Linked DNA regions of Arabidopsis thaliana. The protein of the gene in region 2 purifies or fractionates together with the protein of the main gene of each other region. This does not show direct contact. Each region holds a gene or a part of one and is shown on either strand. Other genes may lie near its edges.

The links.
Region 1: the proteins of CALS1 (region 2) and TUB1 purify together in Arabidopsis thaliana (co-purification; one study listed by BioGRID). This does not show direct contact.

The regions. Positions count from the first base shown.
Region 1 is NC_003070.9:28,452,214-28,456,145, reverse strand, and holds the start of TUB1 (tubulin beta-1 chain), read left to right. Parts: upstream 1-2,325; 5' UTR 2,326-2,543; coding exon 2,544-2,940; intron 2,941-3,733; coding exon 3,734-3,932. Other genes in the region: sks18 (SKU5 similar 18), read left to right, coding at 1-247, 351-716, 799-877, 957-1,166.
Region 2 is NC_003070.9:1,657,640-1,661,571, reverse strand, and holds the start of CALS1 (callose synthase 1), read left to right. Parts: upstream 1-1,960; 5' UTR 1,961-2,316; intron 2,317-2,492; exon of another isoform or gene 2,493-2,872; 5' UTR 2,873-2,894; coding exon 2,895-3,081; intron 3,082-3,172; coding exon 3,173-3,273; intron 3,274-3,366; coding exon 3,367-3,488; intron 3,489-3,590; coding exon 3,591-3,684; intron 3,685-3,820; coding exon 3,821-3,931; intron 3,932-3,932.

The DNA.
Region 1 (3,932 bases), about 27 Mb from region 2:
GTGTTTACTCGAGCCTGGACATCCACGTAGGCCAATCATACTCTATTCTTGTCACTGCCAAAACCGACCCGGTTGGAATTTACCGGTCTTACTACATATTCGCCACAGCTCGGTTCACTGATTCCTACCTTGGCGGTATAGCTTTAATTCGATATCCCGGTTCCCCACTTGACCCAGTCGGACAAGGTCCACTCGCACCTGCTTTGCAAGATTTTGGTTCCTCAGTTGAACAAGCCCTTTCCATTAGGTAAAGAAATACTCTTTTTTTATACCAAAGAATAAAAACTTTTATATGAAATATTTCGTTTAGTATTTGTTCTTGACTAATAAACGTTAAGTGTACGACACAGAATGGACCTGAACGTTGGAGCAGCAAGATCGAACCCTCAAGGTTCGTACCACTATGGACGAATAAACGTAACCAGAACGATAATATTACATAACGACGTTATGTTATCGTCGGGCAAACTACGGTATACGATTAACGGCGTTTCGTTTGTCTACCCCGAGACTCCGTTAAAGCTCGTTGATCATTTTCAGCTAAATGACACGATAATCCCTGGCATGTTCCCGGTTTATCCATCCAACAAAACACCGACTCTTGGAACTTCAGTGGTCGATATTCATTACAAAGATTTCATCCACATCGTGTTCCAGAACCCTCTATTTGGATTGGAGAGTTATCACATCGATGGTTACAATTTCTTCGTTGTCGGGTAAAAATTACAATATTTAAATCATAATTATGTGTATGATGATTAAATTAGGTGTACTAATTTTATTTGAGTTTAATGTTAGATATGGATTTGGAGCTTGGTCTGAAAGCAAAAAAGCTGGATATAACTTAGTAGATGCTGTTTCACGGTCAACAGTTCAGGTTAAGCCATATCTAATCTCGTAATTTAAAGTATTAAACCAGTGATTAGTTTTGGTTAATTGATTCTGTGTGTGTTTAGGTTTATCCATATTCGTGGACAGCAATATTGATAGCTATGGATAATCAAGGAATGTGGAACGTGAGATCACAGAAAGCAGAGCAATGGTATCTTGGTCAAGAGCTTTATATGAGAGTTAAAGGTGAAGGAGAAGAAGATCCTTCGACTATTCCGGTTAGAGATGAAAATCCGATACCGGGAAATGTCATCCGTTGTGGCAAAGTTCGATAATAATTAATTGTCTGAAATAATAAAACCTAGAAAAGTCTATTTTAATTAGCAAAACTAAAGAACGGTTTAAAGGAATGATCAGAGAGTATTAGGATCTGTGTTGATCTTAGGGTTTGTGGTTTGATTGCGATTCGAATCACTTGTGTAATTGCAGAAGACGGATGGTAATTTAAAGAGATGATCTTAGGGTTTGTGGTTTGATTGCGACTAAAGACTACTAGACGATGCCGTTTTAGATTTTAATGGGCTCACACAGTTGTTATCTGCAAACCGGCCCAGGTCTGTTTTGACTTGGTGAGTGCTAACGTGCTCTATAAGAAGATATTGTAGCCACATACGAACAGCTAACGTGCTCCCATTTCCTCTATGTTCCCTTGAGTGACATACGTTTTCACAATAAGTTGGGAGCAAGTAATTTACCAAGAACAAATATATATTTTAAAAAATATAGGATCCTTTTACAAGTTCAATTATTGATTTTGACGTTACGTATAAACAGTAGATCGACCATGACATAAATAAAAATGAAAAAATAATTGGATCAAATCTCAGATCTTACTACAGTCTACATCTACCTAGCTACATGTGCTATGGCATTATTTGTTTTTCATGTTATCATCAATATTGTATAAAAGATCCAAACACAATCAGTGTGATGATATTTTTCTATACTTTTGATCATTCAACCGATTTCAATTATTGTGTTTGATCGTTTACATAGAAATAGGTACATATGCATTCAAGATCTCCAGATCGTTTATTACGTCTTGCTACATGTGCTATGTCACTAAAACAACTAAGATACTACATGCAAAGTTACTGTATTCATTACGCATTGATCGTCTTCTTCTACGCACTATTATTGAATTTTTGTTTCTCGATGTTTTCAGAAGTCATAACATATAATCAAGGGTGGTTGTAGCTAGTCGTGATGAAATTCGAATAGTAAAAGATTCATCAAATGGATCAAGATTTGAAACTAGAATGAATGATCGATACTTGAAAGCTATCACACTTAAATAGTTAAATGGACGATATAATTCAACAATATCTTAAATAACATTAATCATTCACTTTGTAGAAATTTCAATTTGACGGTGCTAACAACAATATGTGACATTTTTGTTTGCAGCAAAAAAGTCAAATGGTAAAAAAAAACATTTTTTTAAAAAGAGAGTATAGTAAAAAAAACAGAGGATAAAAAACGAACAAACGGTTAAAGCTGGCAAAGATCCCATCTTCCCCACGCTGTCAAATTTTGTCACTACTTCCCAAAAAAAACTCTCCCGCCTCTCTCTCTCCCTCTCCCTTCTTATTCTCCTCCTTCTTCTCCTTCACCATCTCCAGATCCCAAAATCTTCATCGATCATCATCATCATGAGAGAAATCCTCCACGTCCAAGGCGGCCAATGCGGTAACCAAATCGGTTCCAAATTCTGGGAAGTTATCTGCGACGAACACGGCGTTGATCCCACCGGACGTTACAACGGTGATTCCGCCGATCTTCAGCTCGAACGTATCAATGTTTATTACAATGAAGCTTCTGGTGGTCGTTACGTTCCTCGTGCTGTTCTCATGGATCTCGAGCCTGGTACTATGGATAGTATCAGATCTGGTCCCTACGGTCAGATTTTCCGTCCTGATAACTTCGTCTTTGGTCAATCCGGTGCCGGAAATAATTGGGCGAAAGGTCATTATACTGAAGGTGCTGAACTTATTGATGCTGTTCTCGATGTTGTTCGTAAGGAAGCTGAGAACTGTGATTGCCTTCAAGGTATATATATGAATCGATTTCTCCCTTTTGATTTATGAATCTGCTGGTGCTTTGATCATATTATCTGATTGATTTGTGAATCAAAACTGCAATTATCCGATGGTTTCGATCATTTAAATCTCGTCTCGTGAGTGTTAATGTAGTTGCATATTTAGTAACCGATGATTTCGATTTCAGTTTGATTTTTGATCATCTTCGCATTGCACTAGTGAATCTCTCACATATCGTGTTTTGATATTTGATTAACGTTTCTCTTCATTGATCTCTTCATGGTCATGGTTCCAATTACAGTTTATGAATTACATGAACATGATCCGTCGATGTTCTTGTGTTTGATTTGCGTTTTTATGGTGTTTCTCTCCTGTTGATTACTGTTTAAGAGTGAGCTGTTAACACTTAATGATTGGCTAGGATTTAGATTTTGTCTATTCTTTATAGTAAAAAGTTAACATCATTGAAACTAAGGACAATATCCTAATTTGGCGGTAGTGTATTAGTGTCCCCTAATGTTTTGTTCCAGATTTGTGACTGTGGATCAACAATATCACGTGAAACCTTAAAACCATATCGAATTTTATAATAAGAACTTTAGGGAATACTCTTGTGTTGACACTTTCGAGGTGAAACATATCACTTTGTGGGGATATAATTGAATAAGCAAGTGGGTCATGATTGGTTTCAGCAATTGTTAAATAACATCTCAATACTTTTTGGATCTGGTTTAGGTATAAGGGACTTCTTTAGTTTTGTAGTACATTGTTTCACACTTGTTCTTAACATTTCTGTATTACAGGGTTTCAAGTATGTCACTCTCTTGGAGGAGGCACGGGTTCAGGAATGGGAACTCTCTTGATATCAAAGATCCGTGAGGAATACCCAGACAGAATGATGCTCACATTCTCTGTTTTCCCATCTCCAAAGGTCTCAGACACAGTCGTTGAGCCGTACAATGCAACTCTCTCAGTCCACCAACTTGTAGAGAATGCTGATGA
Region 2 (3,932 bases):
CTCTATGGCTCTATAGACTATGTCCATCACTGCTGCATAATGGCATATTTTTTACATATCCATTTTTCCAAGAAAAGAGTCATAAACTTATGCATGATAAATACAGTTGACATGATTTCCATGAAATCTAACCCAGCCCAACAAGGCCCATAGGTAGAACCCATCCAAAATCCAGCTTATGAGTGAGTTACATGTGACATTTAGTCACTCCCAAGTCCTAACGCCGATGTGAGCTGTGTAAAGAATATCAATACTTTCACTCACAGGTCAGACACTGAAATTTTGCTTCAACTTGAGTCATCCAAGATGATATTTATAGAATCAAGCCCATCTTTATGGTTGGATATCCCAATCTCCATGACCACTTTGATCATTAAATATCTTCCAATAATTATACGAACTAGCGGACTAGTCAAATATGTTAATCCTAAAAAAAACATTTGAAAAGTCACATTTTCCACCTGTTAAGCCATGAATTCTATAAATTCTATATGAGTTACCACAATGTTTCTCTGAACAAATTACCGTGATGAAAAAAAAAGAATGAAAGCTGATAACAAATTTTGGTCAAGTTGACAATGTTTCTATCGTTGCTTGGAAAAATAATACGAGATAATGTTTTGTGTCTATCTTCTTCACATGCAATCTTAAATGAAATTAGTATATTGTTACAAACGTCAGAGAAACAGGAAAATGACGGGAGACCTTGTTAAACGAGAGAAACAAAACGTCAGCATGTTAGTTGAGCTCTGTCACCATATATTTATGCATATCTTTTGGAACTCTTCGTATATATCACAAGCATCAATAATATTTTTTTCTATCTTAACCCATTTTTATTTATATTAAAACCGTGTAAGGAAATCGCCAGAAATTGCAGACCTGTTTCGTCCTTAATTGCGGATCTCATCAATAGGTTAAGTAGTGACAACTTGTTGCGAGGATAATAGTAGTGATGGTTTTCGAAGATGAGTTATCCCAAAAAAAGAAAACAATTGACGTGGTGATAATAAGTGATCAATAATGTATGTAAACATATGAATGGTGAGAAACGTAAATGTTTATTTTCCTAGTAATAGATAAGATACTTCTAGTTTAGAGTGGTCCACTACTGTCTCTTTAACAAAGGCATGATGAAAAAAAAGTTCCTACTTGCAATTTCATGTTTGTTTAATTTTAGTATGACTCAAAAATTGAATTATTGACCAATAATCTATTTGATGGTTCGTTTTACTTTTATTATTTTTTGTTGAAAGAACAAATTTGAGAGAAAAAAGCTTAGTTAAAAGTTACTTTTGACTGAGCGTTCGATGCTTTTTCATCTAAACCACTTGGAACTCATCAAATAGTATATTTTTGCTTATATATACGTTTTCATATATTGCCAAACAAAATTATATTGTTACGATGATATTGTAAGAGCATTATAAGGATTAAGTTGAGTTAATATGTGTTTAGCTATGTTTGGTTTAATGGAAAATCATGTGCAACTAGCAAGAATAATATCACACATCACTGTTTTTGACTAATGGACAAATTGGATGTGACACTTAATAGAATAATTCTTTCTTGGTAGTTGCTATGATAACTATATTTGTCTTAACGTGAGAAAAGAAGCGATTGGATTGATGAGGGGAAATAAGTTGGATATGATCTCTGAATTCAACAAACACACATCTTTTACAATGAGCAGATGACTAAACTTTAATACACTAATATGGAAAGTTCGAAGGAAAATTACCTTGGATGATGATGATATTCGAGTCCAGCAAACACGCTTTGCTCAAAATTGTTAATCCAAAAGAACAAAAGACATCATATCTCCCAATATTTAATCATGACTAAACAATAGTAATAAAGCTACATAAATGTATAATTTATGATTCAGTTAAATAAAGTTTTATGTATTTTATCAAAGAGAGTCCAAAAGTCATTTTATATTTACTTGTCGAATATTTATTGTCACATATACATATGAAAACGACCCAGCAGCTTCCAAAAATTTATGACGTTATATATTAAAATTTAATACGTTATTAGATGACGTGGCAGTTTATCATTGGCTAACCAGAAAAAGCTGCAAGAAAGGAAATGTGTTACTATAAACTTGGCGCCTGTCTTGTAGCCGTTGCTTTCCTCTCCGGCCTTTTCTCTCTCCTCTCTTCGACCGTCGTCGCCGGAGACCCTTTTCAAGCGGCCAAACAAAGATGCAAGCTTTTTTCTTTAATACTACTGTAGCACTATCGCATCCGATGCTGTTTTAGATTTTGGGTACTCTGCTTCTCTTTCTCTTCATCTTCCTCTGTTCGTCGTCAGGTGATCCTTAAATCTCTGAGTCTCTTTTCACTGTTTTTTATTTTGTTAGATTCTGGTTATTATTTGATTGTGCGTTTCACTTATCCGATTCCTAAGGTTTTAAATTTGTTTCCACTTGACTTGACTTTTGAGTGTGCTCCTCCGTTTTCTAGGTCGTGTAACCCAATTTCGTTTTTTTTTTTTTTATTGGAGATTGTTTTAAGGCTTTCGAAAGTTTAATCCTCTCTGTTTCTAGGACCAGTAATTTAGCTATGGATTGTCTTGTCGAATTGGGTAGTTAAAATATCTGTTTTTTGCTTTTACATCGTCGGCTACTTTACTGGTTTTTGGGGGACTTCGTTGGATCTTTCACCTTTCTTTATAGAAAGAAAACAGCTTTTCGCGTTTATTGCGCGTACAGTGATGTTTGCTTTTCTGTGGATGAATCCGAAATTCGCTTCTCTGTGAAAGTAAATCTTACTGTTCTGGATATTATCTTGGATCCTAGTCTCTCTCTATCGCTTATGTTTGAGTTCACAAGTCTCTCAAGGTTTTAACAAGTATTTTAATTTGGTAGCTGAGTTTGATTGTCGGAAAATATGGCTCAAAGAAGGGAACCTGATCCGCCTCCACCGCAGAGGCGGATTCTGCGGACTCAGACTGTTGGTAGTCTCGGAGAGGCTATGCTTGATAGTGAAGTTGTTCCCTCTTCTTTAGTTGAGATTGCTCCGATTCTACGTGTGGCTAATGAAGTTGAAGCTAGTAATCCACGAGTTGCTTACCTATGTGAGTTGTAACAATTTCATTAACTTGATTGTGAATCATAAAATAACTTCTTTTCTCAGCTTAAATTAGCTTTGAATAACAAAATTACCAGGTCGTTTCTACGCATTTGAGAAGGCGCATAGGCTTGATCCAACTTCAAGTGGTCGTGGTGTTCGCCAGTTTAAGACCGCGCTTCTTCAACGATTAGAAAGGGTAAATATGAATGTATACACTTTATTGATTTGACTAACATGTTGTGTTTAAGTGTTGAACTCATGCCGTTTACGTTTCTGATTACTTCTTCAGGAGAATGAAACAACTTTGGCAGGAAGGCAAAAGAGTGATGCACGTGAAATGCAGAGTTTCTATCAACACTACTACAAGAAATACATCCAAGCTTTGCTGAATGCTGCGGATAAAGCTGACCGGTTTGTGTTTCACTAAATGTTTTCCTTCAAATGTGCTGTTTTTTTTCTTGCAACTTGACCTCTTACTGTGTTTTCCACTCATTTACAATATTTTACCTTTAGTGCTCAACTTACAAAGGCCTATCAAACTGCTGCCGTTCTCTTTGAAGTCTTGAAGGCTGTTAATCAAACAGAAGATGTGGAAGTGGCTGATGAGGTGAACCTCATAGTAGATATTGATCTTATAGTCTCATTCTTGTGCGAGTCGTTACAAATGCTTTGGCCAAACATCTTGAAACTCTCATGATCTAGTTAACCAAAATTGTTTCTGATCATCCTCTCTTTTGCTGTAGATTTTGGAAACGCACAATAAGGTGGAAGAGAAGACCCAGATTTACGTGCCTTACAATATACTTCCCCTTGACCCTGATAGTCAGAATCAGGCAATAATGAGATTGCCTGAGG